2 linked regions of the Oreochromis niloticus genome follow. The protein of the gene in region 2 binds, or shares a complex with, the protein of the main gene of each other region. Links are inferred from orthologs where the notes say so. Each region holds a gene or a part of one and is shown on either strand. Other genes may lie near its edges.

Region 1 (7,106 bases), on a different chromosome or scaffold from region 2:
CCTGCACAGACATATCTAGGGTTTATTAATAATTTAAAAAATAAAAAAAATAAAAAAATTAAAAGAGCTGAAAATATCCAGTGAGTGACAGTGTACTGGGTGAAAATGCCTCATTGATGCCCGAGGTCAGAGGAGAATGGCCAGACTGCCTCAACCTGATAGGAAGGTAAGAGTAACTCAAACAAACACTTTCTGCATACAAACCAAGGTATGCAGAAGAAAATCCCTGAACACACAACACACTGAACCTTAAAGCAGAAAGCATTGAAAACATCTGGAGCATCAAGAGATGAAAAATATAACAAAGAAGATCCACGACTGCTGAACAGCTAGAATCCAATATCAGACAAGAATGAGACAACATTCCTCTTCTAAAAGTCCAGCAGCTTGTCTCCTCTGTTTCCAAACTGTTGTGAAAATGAGAGGCAATGATGCAACAATGCTGTTATTTAGCCCTTTAAACCACTAATCGTGTGTTTTACTGTGAATCTCAGCTCATCACCACTTGCCCTATTTTTTGTTGTTGTTGGTTTTTTGGGGGGTGGAGGGGGGTTGTTTTTTTACTTTACTTTTTAGTTATTTGATTTGTATGTGAGTGTGGTGTTTATTTGATTATTTGTGCAAAATATGAATACAAAGAAGAAAAAACACACTTAAAAAAAAAAAAAGAGGACGCTACACATAGCCCTGATATGGCCCTGTCCCAACATTTGAGACGTGTTGTTGACATCAAATTCAAAATTATTGTGGGTGGGTTTGCCATGTTTGGCAAACACACATTGCATTCTGATTTTATTTAGATTTCAACACAGGATCCCAAGGTTTGGGGGAATCGAGGTTGTATACTCTAGCCTTTCCTAATTTCCCAATAGTATATCTATGCAAAGTGGTTCTGGTCAACAAACTAACATCCAAAGGGACTTTTCAGAGTTTAATATTATAGTGCAAATAAGCATTCACAAACTTAACATAGCACATTCTGTTACTTACCTTGCATTAGGAGATATGCTAACCAGGGGCTTGAAAGAGTCTTGAAGGTACACCTCTATTGGAAATAAGAAAAGACAAATATGAACTTTCCCTTTAAGATATTACAAGTACATTATGTTACATATTAATAAAGGATTTTCACCTCTCCAGGTTTCAATTTTGTGCTCTTCCAACTCATATATCTGAACCTGAAAATTTATCATAAGTGAATGGAGGGATCAAGTAATGCAGAAAGGAAGAGAAAGTGCATGTTTGACCAAAAATAAGGTAAAATATACATAACTAAAACAACCTTGGATGGAGTTTAAGTTTGAGATTTAATTGGTTACATCTATTCCGTGTCTACATCTTACCAATGGAGATTTGTAATAGCGATGAAGAATGTTAATGAAGTCTGTGATGGTTAGCATACCTGCAGAGCAGAAACAGGAGTCCATTATTATTCAACTTTTTTTTACTTTTTAGTGAAACAGAGCCAAATGGAAGTTACTCTTACCAACGAAACACTGCTTCTTGCTATCCCATAAAGGCGCAGCACGCACCCCGTTAGAAACAAGAGCAAAGAATGCCTTTTTCACCTGAGGATGAATTGCACAACAGATTAAAGCTATACTAGATCATGAAAAATATATGTATTTAATTTAAGGCTTTTGTTTTACCTGAAGTGATGTATCAAACACAACTAATTTGGAGCTGGTGGGCACAAGGTCATAACAACGATGGGACTTCATAAACCTGGTGTACACATTGTGTTCTGGATCTACAGAAATGAGACTCAGCTGTCACCATTTTCTATAAATAACTGTTTCCCAGCATGACAGACTGTATTGCAAGCCCCTTACCTTCAATGACTGGGTCCTTCTTGCCCTCAAGATCATCAATAGTTACTGGAATCTGAAAGATAACGTTTATATCACCAAATGAAGTGATATTTTTTTTGGTTGCGTTCTATTTATTATATCACGCCAATATTGCACTGACTACAACACTTTATATTGTACATTTTAATATATACATTTTTTTTGACACAAAAGGGATACATCCATACAAAGCATTTCTAGAAATAACCTGATATTTCTAGAAATGGTTATTTCTAGAAACATGGTTGTGTTTATGTAAAATTTCGCAACCTGATATATTTGGTAAGATAACAATGTGGGAGTGGATGTTTTTGACATGCACGGCAAAGGCAGATCTGAAGTTTATTGTTTCTTTTAAAGAACCTTATCGTGGCTGATGTCGGAAAAAAAGTTTAGCCCGTGAGAAGTACAGCCCAAGGAGGCCTCTGATAAACATGTATTCACTGGAAGTGTCACTGGAAGTGTCACTGACAGGTCCGCCGTTTCCAGAGGAGTGATGAAAACCACTAAAATGTGAACGGTTTCATTGTTTATGACTTGACTCTGAGACGTGAGTAACTGTACTTTAACACCGAGCCATAGACTGCACTTGAGCAGCTGGTTAAACATCAAACAGTATAACTTTGCAGTCAAATAAGATCCGCTGTAATTGGTGAGATCATTTAGTGATTTCTGGGTGTCAAAAAAGACTCGGTTACACTGACAAGTAACGAAACTTTGGAAAATAAATACTATAACAGAAAGGTTAGCGGAGTATTTCCTAGCCTGTCAGTCAGTTGACATTACTGAGCCTGTCGAGGTGACTTTCTATTTACGCTAAGGCTCTTAAGCTGCGTCATTATGTCGTGTATTGTTATATTTTAGTGGTAATTGTACACAGGTACCGGGACTGATAATTATATGCGTTTTCCTGACAACTGACTAAGCGCAATAATAAGCGGGTTGGCCCCAACAACCACTCCACCAAGAATTTGCTCGCTAGCTAGCTTGTACCGTTAGCGTGCTTCAAAAAGTCGGGTAAGTTCATTTGGTTTAAACGTGAGAAAGCGGGCGTAAAACCACACTGTATATACAAGCTACTAACTTACACACTCCATGTTCCATTCGCTGGTTCTCCTCCCTGTAGCCGGTTTCGTGTGCAGCTCTCCAAACCTCGAAGGTCTTCCGCTAACTAACTAACAACGATCAGCATGAATGGTTGTGCTGTCTCTGCCGTAATTGCCGTAATATTGCCGCACTCCAGGGATGTCATTTTAGCTCTGAAGCAGGTAGCGCTCAGGAGTAAAGAATTTGTGGTTTGTTTTATTATTCTGTAATTAAGGGAGCGTTTAGGAGTTCTGTGGAATATTACTTTGAAGGAAAACTGAAAAATCCCCCAACTATTTACATTTACTCTGTTGTCTTGGAACTCTTGCATTCAGATGCTACATCTATGTATAATAAAGTGTGGTTGAACAAAAAAAAGTTAACGCTTAAGAAAATCTTTTGTAGTGCTTTTTTGCTCAGACAACTTCTTAATAAGGGGGTATATTCAGTATATTGTATCGATAAGGTATATTCAGGTATATACAGTAATATGTGGGACTCAGCCACTATTGAGCAGTATGAAGATGGGAAATAGGTAAATATTGAAAAAACTGGCTGAGAAAATACTGGGCATGAGTCTTTTCAGTTTCATGTCCAGTATTTTCTGGGCAGAGCAGAATAATTAGAAGCAGCATAACCTCTAACATATAACAATAATACTATATAATAAAAGAAGAAAGTACACTATACACGTCACAAGCATCTCTCTCTCTCTCTCTCTCTCTCTCTCTCTCTCTCTCTCACTCACACACACACACACACACACGTGTGTGTGTGTGTGTGTGTGTGTGTTTCATTGTGTAGCGGTTGAATGTTAATATGAGTGGAGATGGAGTCTTGGCCATTGCACAGACTGGTTGAAAATTACTGCACATTGTGATTTATCAGTCCCCACTGTGTGCTTGTCTATGTACACATGTGGTCTGCTGCTGTTGTTCATTGTAGAGTCTGACAGCAGCTGAAAGGAAATACAGATAATACAGATAGTATTGCATTGTGCAATGCACAAGAGTTGTAAAATATTTTACATCTGATAACTGTTTTGCAGAGCAGTAGAAGCATCTCCCATTATGAATATTATCAGAAACAGTACCACCAGTATCTCTTTTATAAGGCAAAAACATTGTGACTTAATTGCAGTTTTTGGAAAAATACAATTTTGCTTTGACTCAAATATAATGCCAGTACTAACTACCAGTACCATTTATTTTCAAATAATGTAAATATGCCTCTTTTACAGGACAATGAAAACCCAAATCACACCTCTAACTTTCTAAAAAAGAAAAAAACTTTACTACACTGAACTAAATAAATTTCCTTACTTCCTTCTCTTAGTATTTTCCACAGTGATTTACTTGTTCTTCCTCATTAATAGCTGAACTTTTATCTGGTGAGACTTGTGCACTGTATCTGCATCATCTGTATCACATAAACAAAGAACTACACACAACTTAGCTTTATTATTATTTGTGATTTTTTTTAAAAGAAAGTATGTCAATATGAATATTTAACATGATCTCAAAACTGAAAAAGAATCCCTTTTTATGCATTTATTTTAAGTAGCTTTGGGAATCACTATAGAACAACGAAAAAAACCCCAATTTGAATCATCTGCTAACAGCAACATTTTTTCATCACATATATCACCAATATAATCAATATTCACAATATAAGGATGCTCCAATATATTGGTATCTGCATATAATTGTCCTGTTGACCGTCATCAGCCTGTTAAATAATACTAGATGGACTGATGTCAGCAGTTATGGTTTTTCTATTGAGTAACATCAAATTTGAATGGGTAAAGTACTCAAATCTTGTAGTAAAGGGCAATAAAAACTTACATGTTTAAAAAATATTAATTTTTTTCCTTGTACAAAAAGTTGATTTAATAAAACTAATTTCACAAGCTAAGTTCCAAAAAGATGGCAAAATCATCAGACACATCAGATGAGTAACAGATTTATTTATATACAAAACTGTTTACAGCAAGATTTCTGAATCAACATTGACCCATAGGGAAATATTGGTGTTCAGGTGTACAACACCTGCACCCAAGGTGTCAAGTTAACAGACAGAAGGGGGGAAAAATACTTTTAAGAGCACCTTGAGTCATGAAAGGAAGCAGATGAGGGAGTTTGAACAACAGTAAGGCACAAGACACAGCATCACCAGCTTCTGTTCAACCATCATCATCAATCTGCAGCTATTCATTCAGCACAGCACTTGATAAAAAGTTACAATTAACCACTAAAGGTACAACATCGGGATTATGGGGAGAAACTCCACAGTTTGTCATGTATTCATAAGGCTACAGATTCTATGTGGAAAAACAAAAAAAACACATCATCATTAAGGATCTCAAGTATCTGAATGCGACCATGCAAGTCCACAGTTTGAATTGAGCGGACTGCATACCATACTGACTTGGCTTTATCGAACCCACAGGAACCATCAAATCAAAACCACCAGATCAAAAAAATAATGATAATAAATTCTAAGCTAACTCAGGCATTTTGCCACTTAACCTTACACAATGTTAAAAAGTATTTAAAAAAAAAAAACCCTCAATGTTCATAATTGACAATGCACATATATGCATAAACTCTACTTAGGATATTTAAGAGAGCAAAACTGCATCACTCAAGAGATAACCAATGATACCAAAAACCAATTCCTAAGATGAAATTTTTATTTATTTATTTTTTTTTAAAAAAGGCCATAAGTGGTAAATAGCAAAGATCTACTCAAATCTATCCTAAATCTCTCTGAGTGCTGTCCATAACATCTTTATTACAGTTAATCAGAAATTAAAATGTAGAAACGATGACAGTCTGTTTATCAGAACCTAAGATGTGAGTTGTCAAATATTTCAATATATAACAGACTTCTCTTGTCATAAAGACACAGCTCCACAGTTCATTAGTGAAAGGTACCTGAAGATGAGGAGACAAAGTTATTACAGTGAGGACTGTGAAACCACAGTGGGATATCTAATGTACAATGTCAGTATAGGCTATCCAAGGAAACCCACCATTTGTAAAAAACAATGACACTTTAACACCACATTTAAAGCAATGTGAACTGCGACTCTGCATCGATGCCAAAAAGGACCAGCTGAAGTAATACACCAGTCCTCGGAAAGACCATGAACCAGCCATCACTGGAGAGTAATAAGGCATATGCCAGTGATTTCTCAAAGATTAGGGGGAAAATGATGCAATCAACATGAAGCAACAAATCTGAATGTCTAATTTTGTTTTCCGAGGATTTTGTTCAACTCAAAAAAAAAAACAAAAAAACAAAACAAAAACAAAAAATATCAAGATTATGCCCAGACGTAGCTTACATTTCAATATTGGAAGGTGGTGTTCATCGAAGATGCTGCTTTGTTTAAAACAGAGTTTAATCCTTATCTTAGAAACTTCTCTGTCTCAGTTTCTCAACTGTCTGAGCAGTTGCTTTGCTATGTAAATTAATCTAACATCACAATGGAGCAGAAAAGTTCCACCGCCGTGTCTTGGTGTCGGTGAGGTCACGATTGGCAAGCTGGTGAAGTTGTGCCTCCTGTCTTCAGTAAGTTAGCTTACTGATGTGTTGGATACACTTTCACATCACAATGCACTTCTTCTCCTCTGGGGGAGCATTGCCATCAGCTTTCTCCATCTCCAAAATGATCCGCTTGAAAACCTCCACAGCAGTCTGCATTGCAAGAATGTTGCCATTAGAGTGTGAATGTTCTCAGAAATTAATGTGGACTCGGCTAGCATTCAGAGCTAGCATTCAGAGTTAGCATTCAATAAGGTATTTCTCACTACCTCGTTTTCCTTGGCAGAGGACTCCATGAATGCAGCACCCCAGGAATCAGCAAGTTTTTTTCCCTCCTCTGGCTTGATAACCCTGAAAGGAAAAAAAACAAGCAAAAAAACAAAAACAAACAAAAATAAATAAATAAATATTCGATTTTTTTTTACTTGAACTGCTAAAAAAAAAAACAAAACCCAAAAGGTGCTATTGGTACAGTTACCATTCTACTAAGACATATTTTTACACTTTCCGAAATCTGGATTACCTTTCCATATGGAGATCTTTTTTGTTCCCTACAAGAACAGTTGGGACCCTAAAAAGACAAAAACCTGAATGTATTAAACATAACTTAAAGGAAAAAAA
Region 2 (6,957 bases):
AGCAGCTGCCTGCGTGCGGAACAGAGTAGAGGATAATGAGCAATACTTTAACAAGCATGCAAACAGGCGGGCCCAGTAGGATTATAATAAGCCTGTCTGTAATTAAAATGATAACCACTGTTGCATGTAATAAACTGTCAGGAGCTTATGGTAGCATAGTGGAGGAAGATGAATTTGCTGGCACTGCTTGGTTTCTCTTTAAAGACACCGATCCGCAGGCCCATATTCGGTCTTCAACAACAAAACTATTTTTTGCCACTTTTTGTTGCACGCCATAATTCATTCTGCCTTAGCCGTGCGTTTATGAGATTTAGGGGACTGCAGGGCAGCATATAGCAGCGTATTCGTCATCTGTCTCCTTACCAGATCCTGCACAGACATCGCCATCTATTGGACAGTCGAAGTTATGGCATGGTTTCTCTCCTTTATTGGTAAAAACGAAATGTAAAAGTGAAACGTGAAAAATAAAAAGGGGATAACTGGTGGTATAAAAGCAAAGTCACATAAAGGCTGTAATGAACCAATAGACTGTCACTAAGTAAACATTCATAGAAATACACTTATGAAAATAGAAACATTCAGCTTTTGGGAAACTTGGTTAGCTGCTCTGCTTTCTTAGTACTTTTCCCGCTGGAACCACATTATAAATCTGACATGTTGTTCAAGTATTGTTATTAATTCAATAACAACTTTTTTTTTTTTTTTTGCATTTAGCATCTGCGGTTCCTTGCCGTCTCTGGTTGATCCCTTTAATTGTCACGTGGACACGTAAGCCACTTTGGCATATGACATAACTAACTACACAACTAAATGTGTTTATTGTATATATGTCTTTTTCATTAAGCTGCCACAATCATCTGGATGACATTTAAGTTTGCTATGGTGTGAACTGTGACTAGAGCCCCAACGATTTATCATCAGACTGATATTTTCAGTCGATATTATCTATTATCATCTAGCATTTATAATGACTTTATAATGAAATATTAAAAAGTGAAGAAGAGACGGGAGAAACACTCTTCAACCATGTTATGGATGTTGGTGTTTTACACTTTATGTCCAGCAGAGGGCACTCTGCAACTTCTCTGTTGACAACTCACCTTTGGATCGTTACAAATACAACCAGCTGATCAGAACAGAGTGGGGCCTAGATTAAAGAAGTAAAGAAATCCCTAGACATAACAAATATTTGGGCTATTTATGTATGTGCCAGAAAGAAAAACAAATATGGACTGATATATCAGGATATTGGATTTTTTTTAATTCTCAAATAGTGATGTCTTAAAAATGTTATATGAGCCAGGCTCTAACTGTAACCCATGACTTGCTTAGTGGATGCAAACAAACAAAAATACTACAATAAGATATGAAGCAATACTTATACAATACTGACAACAATATTATAATACAATATTGTACTAACAATACAATACTGTTCCTGCAGTTGGTGTCTTCAGGAACATACTTTCATATGATGACACACACATGCAAAGATTTGTACGGTTAAAAAAACCAAAACAAACATGGCCATTTTACCCTTCTTAGTGCCCCTCAGATACAGTGCTGTTTGTGTCCGACAACCAGTAGTATATAGCTGTCATGATTAAATACTTCTGTACTTTTGGTGAGCTTCAAGTGATAATATATCATATTTATCATATTATTACTTGTTTTCAGTACTGCAAACCCTTAGCCTTCTCTCAATGAGCTTCATGATGCAGTCACCTGAATTGGATTTCACTTCACAGGTGTGCCTTGTCAGGGTTCATTTGTGGGATTTCTTGCCTTCTTAATGGGGTTGGGACCATCAGTTGTGTTGTGTTGGTTCATAGCCCTATTTGACAACTGTTAAAATTCATATTATGGCAACAACCAATCAAAAACATATAATATAATCCTTTTAATATAATGTTTTACTTTGTAATTATGTAACAAAATTACACGAATTTTTTTTTACATGTAATCAAATTACTTTAAATCATCATTTTGGGTATAAATATTATCTTGAGTGCAGTACTTCTGGGTTGTATACTGAGTTCTCTGTGTGCTAAGAAGCTCAATCAAATACCTGTTATGTGTACTGTAGTGAACCAGATCCCTACGTACTGAGACTCAGACTGCATACAAAGTACAACATTCACACTTGCAAAAATACACTAAGTGTCACTGACAGGACTTTTGGTACTCACTGTTAATTCCTACCAGAATTCTCAAGGGAGTCATGGTAACTGTTCACCATGCCTTTCTTTTTTTGAAATAATCACTGACTGAACAAAACCTGTATTTTTCAGTCTGTACTTAAGAAAAATAATAATTAAAAAAGGCAGTGAAAGATTTTTAAGATCTTTGAGGTTCATTGTTCCATGCTTTAAACATGAGCCTTGACACTCCTTAGAACCATAATCTGTGTGGTCATGCATTAGTGTCAGTGAGGAGTTTTTCTCCTCCTGACTAGTTCATTGATATTCCCTGCATGTCTGTAAGGATTTTTCATGCTTCAGGTCTTGACATACAGTAGGAGTGGTTCTTTACAAAGTTCACGGAGTTTTGTAGACAGACTACACAGCAAGGTCAAACTGTCTTTTTTTCTCTCTTGCTGGATACGTTTGCATATTAAATGTACCATATTTTAACAAGTATTTCAAAGACTTTTTACTCCATAAAATTAATAATTACAATTGCTGTGAAATCTGGTTCCCATGAATATTGTGCACATCTTTCTGTTTCTAGACAGTTGAGTGTCCTTTCTTCTTGTAACCTACCATATTTACCTTTGAAACTTTTCAATATTTTTAACAGTTAACAATAAGTGCAACAAATACAGAAGGGTGGGATGATGGAAAAATATATATCCACCTCATAAACAAGAGCCTAAAACCACAACTATGAACTGGATTTGCCATGTTGCAGAACTGAATAGTATAGGGGAAAGAATGGTGCATTATATACTTACTCCAACACAATCGAGCCATATTTACTGATCTTCAGGCTATGACTCATTTCAACGTGATTTTCCAGCATAAATTATGGACCAGGAGTCATATTTCAGCAGAGTTTGCTGATTCATTCGCCACATTGAGCTTTCTGCTTCCAAACAGTGCTGTGCACTATCTACATTAAAATGCTCCTTCACTTGTACACTGTGCCTTAAGTATAAACCTACAAAACCTGATTTTGTCACCAGGCAACAGAAATCTGCGCATACAATAAGCCTGTCTAATTTGCCCTTGCTGAAGCGGCATTTAATGTAATTTGGATAGTTTGGACTGGAGTGCAGCTTTTGTTTATATACTTTTTATGAAGTTAACAAGGCATTGGAAATATATTTGAGACGATTATGAGAATGGATTCTTATGAAACATAGTTCACTGTATTAATGTATTTCATGCTGTATGAACTATGTAACTCCCTTTATATAATCCTGATGGTATTTTGTCAGTTCTTAAAATCTTTTTATGTTGTATTTAGACAGATAAAAATAGGGCCCCAATAAGGGAGCAGCCAAAAATCCTTTTTTCATATTGGCAGAAAACTGCTGACTTTATCCAGAGTTTCCATAGTATTTGATTGGGCACATCATAATTTATCTATCTCATATATGTCTAACGCACATTTTCTCTCCTTTCACTTCCTGACCCTGATTTAGCCTATACGATAGATTTTCCGGCCAAAACAAGTTTACAACGTGAACTTCACCCAGATTAACAATTTCGGAGTTTATTGAGAGCATTTAAATGCAACATGTTACGTCGTTGACGATTTTGACGAATCGCACAGGAGCCGGGACGCCTCCCACCCTCAGTGTTGAGCGGAGCCGCTAGAGTGGAGAAACACATAGCGGAGTCCGGTCCATCTCTACCGCAGCTAGCTAACCCCGCAGCAAGGCCATTGCGGGAAGATGGCGACGGAAAAAGCGAAGCATGAAGGAAGAGTGAAAATTGGACATTACATTCTTGGAGACACTCTCGGAGTGGGGACGTTTGGGAAGGTTAAAGGTATGTGTAACTGTCTCAGGCGTTTATGCATCCTGCCAGCTGCGAGACGGTGGGAGAGGGAGCTTTTAGCTTAGCTGCTAAGCTAGCATACTAGGAAAGCTAACTTGTCGCAGTGCTGGGGAGGCAACACACTTGTTGTCGCGCTATTATCAGAACTTTTTTTGTGTGTGACAAAACGCAGGTTTTAGAGCGTGTCGTTGTCGTTTCTAAGATAAACAAGACACTGGAAGTTTTATGAAATTGGCCTGTAGCTGGTCACGTAGTTTGCCATTTAGCGTCGGTTGCGTTGCGTGCTAGCGAGCGAAGCGCTTGTTGAGACATACACCGGGAAGTCAGCCCTCTTCATTGATGTTGCCGCTAGCAAGAGTACATTTTAATCGGTAAAGTACGGTTTCCTCTCTCTTGCCTTTAAACCCAACTCTGCACTACATTCATTCACAACTTCTTTTCCCATGAGTCGTATTTGTCGCCTGTTTCAAGCATTCAGTGTTAATTCTGAAGTTTAGATGGAGAGAGTTGGACAAACTCTGCTGAATCTACGCCCACTTTGTCAGTGCAGAGGGCTGAACGCTTAGAAGCTTAAGTCAATATACAACTATCAACACGCAATAGACTAAAAAAACCTGTTTTTTTTCCTGAAAAGTAATCGTGTCTGCGCGTTGCTTGTTTTGTTTACCTTACAGGCTGTTCTGTTCAGTAGAAACACTGAAACCACAATATATATCGAAATGGAGTGGAACCACCACAAGCTGTGTGATCGGTTAATTCCCAATGAGTCATCTCCCAGCTCTCAGCTATTTGTTGATGTTGAGGGAAAAGAGCTGGAGTTGGTGCTGTGTGATTATGGTCTTGATTACTACCGACACAGCTGGTAAATCAAAACCAGCTGTTTGCTAACTCCCATGGGCAAATGCGCTGTCTTCCCACCGTCCATTCAGATGTTATCTTTTTGTTTCTGGTGCGGCTTCTTACCGCTTTCAGTTATGAGGACTCTGTATTTGACCTATTTGCTCATGTATTGACTGTGTATCCCCACTCACCTTTACAGATCATTTAGCATGTGCTAGGATTTCTTTCTCTTTTTTTTTTTTTGTGGGTGACTTAATGTATTTACATTAGGTCACCCACATTAAGTCACTTTCAGCTAGAGACTTTATAAAGTAGAGATGTGGCGTTCAAAGACTCTTGAATTTAAACAGCAGATGAAGTAAGGCTTTGGTTAGCTTTGACTGATGTTTCGTAAGTATGTGCCCAATAGGTGCTGGAAGGTGTTTCAACATTGTGCATGGCAAGATTTGCTTCAAGGACTTTCGTTTCAGCATTAGATTTATCACACTCAGTAGGCAGCCAGTTTCAGCAAAAAACAAAAACAAGAGAGCTGTTTTACAGTCTTTCCATAATACCAAATGACAAAGCTATGCTGTGATATGCCTGAGTGATTGAATATGGTTGACTGAATACAAAATACTTTTTTTTTTCCATCCTTCCATTTTTTTTTTCCTTTAATTTGAATGCTTTTATTTTTTATATTGTTAAAATTGTGATAGGAAGTGGTGATTTAGATCTGCCATTCCTCACACTGACTTCACGATATTGGTCCTATTGCTGCTGTCCTTCATCCACCATGCTGCCTTCTGTTTCCAAAATAGGTTTCACCTCTAAGATTCGTAGCATGTCCGGTAACCTTTATCCTAATAGTGTAAACAACAAATTACACATTTCCTTAAGTTGCGTGAAGATGACTTGTTTTGCATAATACGTCATCCTTCCCTATTTTATATGGCCTTGGTTGTAATAGAATTGCTCCATCCACTCTTTTTTTCCTTCAGTGGGCCAACATGAGCTGACCAAGCATCAAGTGGCAGTGAAGATCTTGAACAGACAGAAGATCCGCAGTTTGGACGTGGTGGGAAAGATTCGCCGGGAGATCCAGAACCTCAAGCTTTTCAGGCACCCTCACATAATTAAACTGTAAGTCCTAGATTACACTCTGCTCACTGCTCCATAATCCCCTTGCCACTACATTAATGCCACCCACTGAGCTATTTTCAGGCTTTTATAGTGTTGTTTTAGAATACATCCATCTAGGACAGTATCTGTCTGACTCAGTCCACTCTCTCTTCTGACCTCTCCCTGTTGTGCAGTATTGACTGTTTAGTTATTCCCTCAGTTGGTCTTTCATTTTAATGTACAAAAGTGCACTGGCTTTGTCTTTATTGTGGCTAGCTGTGTAGCTTGCTCTGCTGGTATTACTGTCAACATCTGTCAGGCTAGAGCAGATAAGTGTGTCATTTCAAATGAGTAATTTTTTAACATCATAGTCTGAGCTGACTGTCCCATAATGTTCTGGTCCTCTAAGCTAAACTTGCTATCTGACAGTTGTCAGGGGATTTCCTGTTTGGTAAGGGAATGTTCACAGACTCAAGGCCACAGTTACAGGGTCATTAAACTGACCGGGGGTGTGTATAATTGCCTGAAATACCCGTTCCATGTTAAGCATGCACAAAAATGTAAGCTATGTCTGTGTGTGTCTACGCATGAGAGAGTGATTCCATCTTTGGCAGGGTACACAGACCACTGGGGCAAAGTACATAACATTGTCTGTCTAGCGGGGATAATAACAACTCGAGTAATATAACATAATACTGCTTCATTTTTATTGATGGGATGTTTTCTGCAGTTGCAACACATCAGGTTCACAGTTAGTGAACATCTCTAACATCTGCTGAGCTACAGACTGCATGGCAGACATTACTGCCTTTGTGTTTTATCCACCATGGTAGGGCACGCTTACAAAAGCGCTGAATGTTTTCTTAAAATATCTTCACACTGTCACGTTGTCAATGCATTTTTTTTGGTTGTCTGTATTTAAAACCTGTGAAATCTGAGCTGTAGAGGCTGCATACAATGTGGTTTCTGGGACTTGCTATCAATAATTTCTCCTGGTTTGATTCTACAGCTT

What was found.
Region 1: the proteins of prkaa1 (region 2) and prkag1 are in contact, whole or in part, in a crystal structure (PDB 6C9H), measured with the Homo sapiens proteins. The link is inferred for Oreochromis niloticus from reciprocal best matches to the Homo sapiens genes PRKAA1 and PRKAG1. Residues at the interface, in NP_006242.5 of Homo sapiens: Ser295, Ser296, Thr297, Met298, Ile299, Asp301, Glu302, Lys305, Arg342, Glu347, Ala348, Phe351, Tyr352, Leu353, Arg369, His371, Pro372, Glu373, Pro376, Phe377, Asn449, Val451, Thr452, Thr536, Pro537, Arg538, Gly540, Ser541, His542, Thr543; in NP_002724.1 of Homo sapiens: His36, Asp40, Leu41, Ile42, Pro43, Thr44, Ser45, Val50, Leu64, Val65, Gly68, Val69, Arg70, Trp75, Ser77, Lys78, Lys79, Gln80, Phe82, Pro158, Glu159, Ser160, Gly161, Asn162, Lys170, Arg171, Lys174, Phe175, Leu178, Phe179.

What each region holds. Positions count from the first base shown.
Region 1 is NC_031970.2:23,221,311-23,228,416, reverse strand, and holds the start of prkag1 (5'-AMP-activated protein kinase subunit gamma-1), read right to left. Parts: upstream 3,103-7,106; 5' UTR 2,948-3,102; coding exon 2,939-2,947; intron 1,885-2,938; coding exon 1,833-1,884; intron 1,751-1,832; coding exon 1,650-1,750; intron 1,569-1,649; coding exon 1,487-1,568; intron 1,403-1,486; coding exon 1,344-1,402; intron 1,179-1,343; coding exon 1,133-1,178; intron 1,046-1,132; coding exon 991-1,045; intron 1-990. Other genes in the region: rhebl1 (ras homolog, mTORC1 binding like 1), read right to left, coding at 6,546-6,638, 6,755-6,836, 7,009-7,056. UniProt on the Homo sapiens protein: AMP/ATP-binding subunit of AMP-activated protein kinase (AMPK), an energy sensor protein kinase that plays a key role in regulating cellular energy metabolism.
Region 2 is NC_031972.2:15,614,733-15,621,689, forward strand, and holds the start of prkaa1 (5'-AMP-activated protein kinase catalytic subunit alpha-1), read left to right. Parts: upstream 1-3,883; 5' UTR 3,884-3,898; coding exon 3,899-3,995; intron 3,996-5,824; coding exon 5,825-5,966; intron 5,967-6,957. UniProt on the Homo sapiens protein: Catalytic subunit of AMP-activated protein kinase (AMPK), an energy sensor protein kinase that plays a key role in regulating cellular energy metabolism.